Linked DNA regions of Callithrix jacchus. The protein of the gene in region 2 interacts with the protein of the main gene of each other region in a pairwise test. Links are inferred from orthologs where the notes say so. Each region holds a gene or a part of one and is shown on either strand. Other genes may lie near its edges. The genes, in order: ATPase PAAT, CLTC and AP2B1.

What was found.
Region 1: the proteins of CLTC (region 2) and ATPase PAAT interact in binary tests that used the Homo sapiens proteins (3 or more experiments, as listed by UniProt). The link is inferred for Callithrix jacchus from reciprocal best matches to the Homo sapiens genes CLTC and C10orf88.
Region 3: the proteins of CLTC (region 2) and AP2B1 interact in a two-hybrid assay, tested with the Homo sapiens proteins (2 studies listed by BioGRID, with this or other methods). The link is inferred for Callithrix jacchus from reciprocal best matches to the Homo sapiens genes CLTC and AP2B1.

The regions. Positions count from the first base shown.
Region 1 is NC_133513.1:116,313,666-116,317,318, forward strand, and holds part of ATPase PAAT, read right to left. Parts: intron 1,314-3,653; coding exon 1,107-1,313; intron 1-1,106. UniProt on the Homo sapiens protein: ATPase that regulates mitochondrial ABC transporters ABCB7, ABCB8/MITOSUR and ABCB10. Regulates mitochondrial ferric concentration and heme biosynthesis and plays a role in the maintenance of mitochondrial homeostasis and cell survival.
Region 2 is NC_133506.1:94,241,231-94,244,883, reverse strand, and holds part of CLTC (clathrin heavy chain 1), read right to left. Parts: exon of another isoform or gene 2,088-3,653; intron 1,719-2,087; coding exon 1,581-1,718; intron 1,338-1,580; coding exon 1,173-1,337; intron 1,021-1,172; coding exon 840-1,020; intron 1-839. UniProt on the Homo sapiens protein: Clathrin is the major protein of the polyhedral coat of coated pits and vesicles. Two different adapter protein complexes link the clathrin lattice either to the plasma membrane or to the trans-Golgi network.
Region 3 is NC_133506.1:98,757,151-98,760,803, forward strand, and holds part of AP2B1 (AP-2 complex subunit beta), read right to left. Parts: intron 3,143-3,653; coding exon 2,977-3,142; intron 577-2,976; coding exon 478-576; intron 1-477. UniProt on the Homo sapiens protein: Component of the adaptor protein complex 2 (AP-2). Adaptor protein complexes function in protein transport via transport vesicles in different membrane traffic pathways.

The DNA.
Region 1 (3,653 bases), on a different chromosome or scaffold from region 2:
GCTTCAGTCCCTCCCTTCACCACACTCCCTGTTAGTTACTGTGGATATATCCCTAAACTCCGCTTCCAGCCACTGAAGGTTCATTCCATTTCCCCTAATCCTGTGTTTCTAGATGTTCACAACATCCTTCCAGGGAAAGTCTTATTCACAGCTAAAACTCAATATTGCCAAAATTAAATTCCTTTTCCTCCAAGCATCCTCCTCCTTTGGGCTGCATTTATATTACTAGTATTGCCATCCTTAAAGCCTCAATTTCATGTTTAACTTGATTTTTCTATCATAATACCAGGATTAAGTTAGTTGTCAAATCCCAATGGCTCCATTGTTTTAACATCTCACAGTCCAGCATTACGTTACTATGTCTAATCTTGGACCCTCATTCACTCTCACCTGGATGAGGAGAATAACCTGCAGCTAGTCTTTTTTTGTAGTTTCACTTTCTTCAGATTCACCTTACATATGACAGTGGCTTAAAATTTCTTGAAAACATCTACAAATTTAAAGTAGCATTCAAAGCTCTTTATGATCTCGCTGAAATCTACTCTAAACTTCCCCTATTACTTTTTTGCTTCACAGAAATGAACTACTACTCATTCCCCCACTATATCAAATTCTTCTAGCATTGAAGATTTTAGTTCACCTTATTTTTCGTCTGAAATGGCTTTCTTCCAAATGTACTTGCCTAATCCCACTCTTCATTTTAAAGGCCTAGATAAAATACCACGTTCTTTAATGAGCCTTCCTTCTTAGTGTCTTTATCATTCCCCACTTACATGCTCCAGAATGTAAAAATTCTTAAAGACAGATTACAGACTAACTGATCATCTTTGCACACTCAAAATTGCTCAAAACAGTGCCTTGGTCACTGCGAAACAAACAAACAAACAAACAAACAACTTGCTGAATGAATTCATAAAAAGTGTGAAAATTTGTAGTCAAAACGCTCTGTAGAAAGGCAAATCTATAAAGATGTTAACTTCCATAAAACTAAAAGATAACAGTTAAATCAGTATAAAAGAAAAACTTTAAGTCACTACATTTCGTTACTAAAAGCAATCATTTTGCAATCTTTAATAGTATCTGGAAAGAACTCCATTTCTACTTACCTGCTGCTGAAACCTAACCATATCCATCAACTGCTGAGCTCCAGGAGATAACTTTGACCCCATGGACTCCATTATGGTTTGGACCTTGTGAAGGTCTATCCTTGATCCTAGAGCAGGAGAACTTGTTGAAGAACTTGCCAAAACTGATCTCATGTGTACCACAACTTTACTGATGAACACACACTGCCTTTCGCCAAAGGAGAGCAACTATTACAAAACAAAAGTCCAGAAAATAATATTAAAAACAATGATCACTTCTTGGTATCACCTAAACAAGAGTGAAGTATTCAAGAATCTAAAAATTAACTTCAAGTATATTTTAAAGTCTTCTCTAGAACACTATTTATTGAGGTTCAGATGAACTATTTAAATAAAAAAGTCCTTTCAAAAACTAAGACTTCATGTAAAATAACAAACGGAGTAGTTAAATAAATGTTAACTTATTTAAAGAACTAAAAATAAAATAGTAGTCTCTCTTTATCGGTGGAGAATGTGTTCTAAGACCTCCAGTGGCTCCCTGAAACTGTATATAGTACCAACCCCTATATTTTTTCCCATACACACATACATACATACCTATGATAAAATTTAATTTATAAATTAGGTATAGTAAGAGCTTAATAATAGAATAATTATGACAACATAATAAAACTTATGTGAATGTGGTCGCCTCTCTCTAAATCTTACTGGGCGATACTTAGCCTTCTTGTAATGATGTTACATGATACAATGCCTACATAACGAGATGAAGTGAGGCAAATGGCATAGGCGTTGTAACATAGCACTAGGCTACTCTTGACCTTCTGATGATACATTCGGCTAGTAAGTGGCTAATGAGCTGTAACATATACGGCAGGGACACACTAGACAAAAGGATGATTCATGTTCCAGGCACAACGGAGCAGGATAGCAATAGATTTCATCACACTATTCCAAACAAAGCACAATTTAAAACTTATGAATTGTTTATTTCTGAAAATTTTCATTTAATATTTTTGGACCACGGTTGATGGTGGGTAATGCAAACTGTGGAAAGTAAAACTTCAGGTAAGGGGGAACTACTATATACCAATCTGAGACCTTAACATACCACAGCTTGCTACTTACCACAAAATAAGGTTGTCCAGATGCCCACACAAAATGTTTACTGAAATAATAAGTAAAATTCAATCCTTCCAAATTCAGAACTATAAGAGAATATCAAAATGATGTAATACAGCTTGCTGGACTATACATAGAAATAGAGTTCAAGGGTGATAAAAGGACACTCAATTAGTAAAGGTCTAGCTTGAAACCTAGTTCTTCTGGCTTCTAGCCTAGTAGTTTACCAAACATTTTATCCTGTCCATATTTCTGAAACAAGAGACATTTCATGTGTGATACAGACAACAGAGTAGCAAAATGGAAAGGGAATGGGCTTTAGAATCAGACAAACCTGAGTTTAAATTGTGACTCTGGTACTTACAACCTGTGTAACCCTGCGCAAATGCTAAATCTGAGTCAGTATTAAAATGAGAGAAGATAGTAACAATGATTTCACATAGTGGTGAGGATTATATGTTAAAACTTCCAGTAGCTACCACTAAGTAAGTGCTCAAAAACCTGTATTGGTAACCATTTTTTTATTTGAACTTTCATATTGCCTCAGAACAAGCTTTCATATCAACCCTAGAGTCTCCCTGAAATAACCCTTTGTGCTTCCAGGTACTCCCATAGAACAGTTAAAAAAAATTCACCTTCAGAGACACACAAAGATCCACATGTCACACAAGGACAGAGGTCAATACAGACTCATGATCCAAGAACTCTTGAGTGTTGAAAAGATGTAACTGTCTTCAACATTTTAAGGAAATATCCTATTAACCTCCCACCTCAACCTATTATCCCCCCTTTCTCTTTTTAACCCCATAGCCTTTTTCACCATTGAATATAGTATTTGTTTTACTCAGTGGGTCTCCTTATTGTCTGTCTTGCCCCTACTAGAAAGAATACAAGCAACATAAGGGAAGACATCAGTTTATTTTCTTATTACTAATTCCTAAATGCCTGGTATAGTACCTGACATTAAGAAGCACTCAAATCTTTGTGGAATGAATAAATCACTTTACTCGAATGGCTTTTGAAGCTATTTAATATATACTACCCAAAACAACATCTTGGGATAATTAGTTCTGTGAGTTTGCTATCTGCTTGTAAAAATCACTTATTTTTCCTTATTGTAAAACTAAGTTTCAATCTTCTATAAGTAATGATAATAAGTACAGAATTTTAGAGATAAAAGGAATCCAAGATTTTCTTCAGCTCCCTCATTTTAACCATGAAATAGGTCCAAGATCTGCCCAAGACTAATCCACTAGTCAGCAGCAGAACTGAATTTAACATCCAGGGCTTAAGACTTTCAACTCATTACCTTATCCCCAGACTCTGAAGACATCACTAACAGTTAACCTGATATTTTTCGTGCTGAAGACAACAGTCCAGTCCCTTTAACTTCTCTTGCTTGAAACTTCTCTAATTTCATTCTTTTATAAATGGGGCCAAAACTGC
Region 2 (3,653 bases):
ATATAAGCATAAAATGTTATTAAACCTGATCATTAGTACAGATTGAGTATCCCTTATCCAAATGCTTGGGACCAGACATGTTTCAGATTTTTGAACTTTGGAATATTCACATTATGTTTACCTGATCAACATCTCTAATCTGAAAATCCAATTTCTGAAATGCTCCAACAAGCATTTCCTTTGAACTCAAAAAGTTTTGAACTTTGATGCATTTTGGATTTTCAGATTAGGGACACTCAACCTGTATTTTCACTTTTTACAATTTAAACATCACTACATATTTTTCTCTTAAAATTCTACCTTTAATTCATCTATAAAATATCCAAACAGATGGTCTTGTTCACTGCATATCCTTAGGATCCAATATAAAAGGGCCTTGATGACATTATTATTATTATTATTATTTTTCCCTGAAACAGAGTCTCACTCCGTCGCTAGGCTGGAATGCAGTGGCGCAATCTTGGCTCACTGCAACCTCCGACTCCCAGGTTCAAGCAACTCTCCTGCCTCAGCCTCCAGAGTAGCTGGGATTATAGGCACGTACCACCACGCCCAGCTAATTTTTATATTTTTAGTAGAGATGGGGTTTCACCATGTTGGCCAGGATGGTCTCGATCTCCTGACCTTGTGATCTGCCTACCTCGGCCTCCCAAAGTGCTGGGATTACAGGCATGAGACACCACGCCTGGCAACATTTACTGAATAACAAAACTTAAAAAATTAAAATGTCCCATAGAACCAAATTTTTAGAAAGACAAAATTTCCAATAGCCTGATCATAAGCATACCTCTTCTTGGCTATCTTAAGTACTTTTTACAAACTCAAAAACTCCTAATTACCTTCAAAACTCTTGAAAGATTCAAAAAGTTCAATCAGAGACTGAGTTGACAGTTGTTCATGATATTTAGAAGCCACCTGAACACAGATCTGCAGATTCTGACGAATATTGGCAGACAGCATGGCTCTGAGACATTCTAGAGAGTCTTCTACTGATAAGGAACCAAAGTAATTCACTAACCACTACAAGACAAAATAAATGAATGAATGAATAAATGAAACAATGTTGAAACTCATGGAGGTATGAAATTATTAATATTTAGTACTACAAACACATTTTCAGTGTGCCTATTAATCACAACTAACACCATCTATTAGGTAAGAAACTAAAATACCTCAGGGTTAAGAAGATGGGTGTGAACCACTGCACGTTTTATATCATATAAATCAGTGAAGTGTTCTAATGCACGCTGCAGTAAGCCAGCCTTTTCACACAGCTGAGCGATATGAGCCCGGTCATAATGCGTGAACATCTGATTGCCTAGAATAGCATCTGCAACCTGTAAAACCACAAATAAGGTAAGTTTATTGTCCATCCCATTTATATGAGTAATTCAATATCCATATTACATATTAAGGTTTAATAGTGAACTGATAAAAGAAAGTACAAAAGAATATATAATAGCTAAATTTTCTTGTATAAGGAGTAGGCATCTCAGTAGCTTTGAATAACAATCTGAGATGCTCTGCACAATTATTAAAGCAATATTGGAAACATGCCTAAAAAACATTAGAACACATACTTGAGGCGCATGCATAAGGTTCATCTCAAGTAACCGCGTCTGTAAAGGACCTTCAGATGGGCGATTATTCTTCAGTGCATCAAGCAAGAATGCGGTACATTGCTGAATTAGATTGTATTCCATAAAGACATCTACAATCTGCAAAAAAAGAGATAAAAGAAATTGTTTAAAGATACTATGGAAAGTATGTAGACAAAATTATGCACAAACTCTTTCTTTACCTGAGAATTTATTTGGACACTATAAATGCTTTAAGAACAAATTTTGTCTTCTAGAGAACATAGTTACTTTGAGTTCTGATAAAAACAACTAAAATATTTCAAGATATTACATACTAGCAGAATAGAATCAAACAGATAGACCTTTATTTTTACGAACTTTTGAAAAACAATAACATAAACAATATGAAGAACTCTGAATTGGAAGACTCACACTTCCGGTATGCATCTCTTCCCTCTCCCCACACTTAGGAGCAACCACTATCCTGTTTTATCACCCCCATGTATTTTTTTTTTTTTAATAACTATTTTTCTATTTATTTGAAGCACAGTAAAAAAAGAAAAATTGGTACACTTTGGAAATTCAGTGGCACAAGGTACACTGCCATAACTTGAAGGACATTATACAGTAAAAAAAGAAAAAATAAGGAAGTAAGAAAAAAAATTATCCTGTTTCAAACAACTGCATTACATAATTTTACCTGCCCAAACAGACCATTTACAAATATTAGGTCAATAAACTACTAACATCCATAAAAAGATAGCTTTCTTACTAAAATGTCAGAATTTAAAAGATTGGTATCTAAACAAAAGACAAAACAAACTGGAATGAAAGCCTAGATATCACATCTAAAATCGGGGTTTTTCTGTTTGGGCCTTCGTACTCTTCTCTCCCTCTACCATATCCTGCTGGAGTTCCAGGCCCCATTCCTCTAGGACCCTGTCCACCCACAGGCCCCGCACCTCCTTGCCCAAAGTGCTCAGTACGCATGTCACTTCCTATCATGGAACCACTCATGGTTGCTGGTGGAACTCCAGGATTAGCTTCATAACCTATGCCACCACCACCACCTAGAGGTGGAAATTTCTGGCCTCCTGAACCATAGGGATCTCCCATGTTCATTGCTCCTCCGCCACCCATTCTCATGTCTCTTTCTCTTGGATCCATGTAGCCCATTCGGCTATAACTTTCCTCTCTTTGGCGCCTCATTTGTTCTTTCATCTCACGCTGACGAATCATCATCTCTTCCTCTCTTCTATGTAGTTCCTCCTCTTGCCTCAATTGCATTTCTTTACGTTTCTGCATTTCTTGATTATGAAGTTCTTCCATGCGTCTTAATTCTTCCTGTTGTCTCATCAGATCTTGGTGCAAAAGATTTGCCTATGTTCATGATAGGCATCTTCCATTTCACTTTCCAATTTGTCTTTTGCATCCTTCATATTTTTTTCATTTGTTCTCTTTGCTGTTTTTCCATTTCATCCAACGACTTCCATCGCTGAGAATATTCGTACTCAAATGTGCCATGCTGGGCAAAACGAGGAGTTTCTCCTTTTGATACATCGGATTCTTCTGCGCAAGTTTTTCAGGAAGACCATCTTCATCAGCTAGCTGTTCAAGTGGTTCCACGATGACTGGACGAGGAGTTGTTGTCAGCAAGAAAACATCTTCACTGCATCGTTCAAATGCCTTTCTTGCTGCTGGTTTAGAAGCAAATTCAACAATGCCTTTCCCTGTAGATCTTCCACGATCATCCACTATTACAACAGCCCTTTCAATAGGACCAAACTGGCTGAAGGCTTCTTCCAACAGTTCACTGGAAACGTAAGGTGAAAGATTATGAACAAAAAGGGCAGCAGCATGTGTGGCAAAGCGAACTCGAAGCTGTCTACCTCTCATGGGCGTATCATCGAGCTCAGCTTTGGCAATTTCAGCCAAAGCTCTGGATTCAGGCTTAATAAATCCGAATCCTTTGCCTTTGTTGATTAAATCTTTTCCAGGTTCTCCATATTTAACAAATAGTCTTCTGAATTCATCTTCCGTGATATCAGCAGGTAGATTCCCAACAAATAACCG
Region 3 (3,653 bases), about 4.5 Mb from region 2:
CAAATAATTCCAAACAGGTCCAAATATATCAAATAATTCAAGGAAGCAGCATAAGTACTTTAAAATTATTTCCAAGAGAAAGGCAATCCCTCTGGAAGGTAGAACAATGCATGAAACTTTGCTGAGGCCATCTCCTATTTCCACATGGTACTTTCATTTGAAAGCTGAAATGAAGTCACAGAGAAGCTGGTAGTATCAGAACACGTCATTTTCATCTAAGTATGCCCTTCATTAAGAGTCTATGTTCAATTTTCATGAATTATGAAAAGTGGAGTCAGCCAACTCATTTAAAAGCCATACAATTAGCTACAATTCAGTTGAACACATTAAAAGGCATTGTTTTAACATTTTAACAGGATCTAAAGGCCATACTTCCTTCAAATAAAACTTCCCCAAATGAACCCCCTAGGAAGAGTCATAATTTCCTACAATTTGAAACAAGACAAATCAACACCTCACTTTTTCCAGATTTCTTACCTGTGTTGCCAAACTCAAGACCTGCTGGACTAGCTCCTGTGTTTCTGATGGTTTCTTGAGAAACAGCTTCACTATGGCAGTAAGCAGAGTGAGCTGCACCTAAACAGATAATTTGATAGAGTGAAAGAATGGCACTGGCATCATTACCTGCCATCATCTCCAAAGTGGTGTTTCCGCAACTATGAATTACTATGGAGTCTTTCTGATGTTGGTTAAGAGAAAAAAGGTTAAAACTCATCAATATCAACAATAGCAGTCAAAAATATTCATGGGAAATACAAAGGTATTCAACTGAAAACTCTATCCTCCTATCCTCAAAATGCATTTTTGGCACAAAACACTGCTTGTTTCTAAGCCAGATAGTTACCTATGTTTATTATTCTTCTTATTATTATTAATTATTTTGAGACAAGGTCTCCCTCTATTGCCCAGATGCACATTTATGAATTGTAGCCTCAAATTCCTGGGCTCAAGCAATCCTTCTGCCTCAGCTTCCCAAGTAGCTGGGGCTACAGGTACAAGCCACCAAACCTCTTTTTTTTTTGTAAATTTTTGTATCTTTTTGTAGAGATGTAGTCTTGCAATGTTGCCAGGGCTGGTCTCAAACTCCTGGCTTGAAGCGATTCTCTTGCCATCAGCCTCCCAAAGTGCTGGGATTACAGACAAGAGTAACTGAGCCTGGTCTGTATTTCTTAAAGTATATGTTAACATACTGATGGTGATAAAACTGACTCCTGAGCAAGTCTTTTATTATTTACTTCTACCAAAAGCTACAATTTGGGGGGAATTATGGAATCATCTGTCATACTGGGGCAAGAGCCAAGACAGTAGAATTATGTCAGATTACAGACTATTAGGAGTTGGCTGCTAAATCACAAAGCTATTGACTTGTACATACTCCTTGATTTAGATCTATTAAAATTGTTATGATAAATCATATACATGATCTTCTACTTGCTTTGAGTACAAATGACAGACAAAAAGGGCTTAATAATTTATCTGCTTCTCGGTCCCATGGCTCTAATTTTGGTAAGGGAAAGTGAGAAGCAGTCTCAGAATTTTCATCCACAGATAATCTTTTCAAAACTCACCACAGCCCCCAGTGAAAATCCCTGCTATAATGAGCCACAGCTATTACTAACAGAAATGTGCAGTCATTCTTAGGTGACAGAAAATAAAAAAGCAGTGTTAACTACTACTCTAATCCAGTGGTTATGTATTGCCAGCCGTAGCGGCAGCAACATCCTGGACCTTGTAAGACATGCAAATACTTAGGCACATCTCAGACCTACTGAGCCAGAAACTCTAAGGCTGAAGCCCAGCAACTTGTGCTTTAAAAAGCTCCCCCAGGTGTTAATAATGCTCACTAAAGTTTGAGAAGTACTGGTCTGAGTTACATAGGTTTTGAATATTAGAAATCAGTAAAACTGGCCAGGCGCGGTGGACCACTCCTATAATCCGAGCACTTTGGAGGTCGAGGTGGGCAGATCGACTAAGGTCAGGAGTTCAAGACCAGCCTGGCCAATGTGGTGAAACCCGTCTCTACTAAAAATACAAAAAATTAGCCAGGTGTGATGGCAGGTGCCTGTAATCCCAGTTACTTGGGAGGCTGAGGAGGGAGAATCACTTGAACCTAGGAGGCAGAGGCTGCAGTGAGCCAAGATCGTGCCACTGCACTCCAACCCGGGCAACAAGAGCAAAACTCTGTTTAAAAAAAAAAAAAAGGCCAGGTGTAGTGGCTCACGCCTGTAATCCCAGCACTTTGGGACGCTGAGGTGGGTGGATCACGAGGTCAAGAGATCAAGACCTTCCTGGCCAACATGGTGAAACCCTGTCTCTACTAAAACACAAAAATTAGCTGGGCATGGTGGCATATGCCTGTAGTCCCAGCTACTCAGGAGGCTGAGGCAAGAGCATCACTTGAACCCAGAGGAGGAGGATGCAGTGAGCTGAGATCGCACTGCTGCACTCCAGCCTGGCACCTAAGCAAGACTCTGTCTAAAAAAAAAAAAAAAAAAAAAAAAAAAAAAAAAAAAAAATCAGTAAAACTGGCCAGGCACAGTGGCTCATACCCAAAATTCCAGCACTTTGGGAGGACGAGGCAGGTGGATCACTTGAGGTCAGGAGTTCAGGACCAGCCTGGCCAACGTGGTAAAACCTTGTCTCCACTAAAAATACAAAAATTAGCCAGGTGTGGTGATACATGCCTATAGTCACAGCTACTCAGGAGGCTGAGGCAGAAGAATTGCTTAAACCCAGGAGGCAGAGGTTGCAGTGAGCCAAGATTGTGCCACTGCACTCCAGCCTTGGCAATAGAGCAAGATGCCAACTAAAAAAAAAAAATTAGTTAAACCGAAAAGGGACATCCCTGTTGGGAGAAAAATGAACACACTATATATAAATACAGACACAGAAGAAACTGCCTATAACCTTTGCTTTCTCTGCAATCTCCCCAAAGACATAGAAAACTACCAGGATAGACAAAAGATAAGAACTTACCTGGGTGCTTTCATCGTGAAAACCCTCCAGGAAGCTTTCTAGTAACTCATCTGCATTGTCAATTCTTTCAGCATATTCTCCCACAATCCAAATCATAGCTGCTCGAGCATCTGGCTCATCTAGTGAGTCTAAGTTCTCACATAGAGTGGCAATGATACTTTCATACCTGATGTGAAAAAATGAACTATGGTTATTAAAAGCCAAACTAAGAATTATATTTAATAGTGAAGGTTAAAGGCAAAACCACAAACAAGGGACCCTAAACCAAACCACCAAACTGTAAAAGCAGTGAGGTTGCAGTGAGCCGAGATCACACCACCACACTCACTTGGGCAACAGACTGAGACTCTATCTCAAAAAAAAAAAAAAACAAAAAAACAATCAGAAGCTTTGGCACAAGATATCTCTATGAGTGTAATGCAACATAGGCTTAAGATGCTTACAAAACCTTCTCTTATTTCACTTTCAGATTCCTTAATTACTTGTTTTCAAAAATCAAATCTAAAAAAGTATTTTTGCTTCAAATACTAAGAGTGTTCAATCTAAAAAACTTGTGAAAATGTAGATTTTTAAAAAAATATTGTATGAGAGTAACTACAATACTTCAGAAACGGCATGAGACTGATACTTTGTTATAGGTTCTATAATTTTCTACAATGTAAGGTAACATGCAAAGT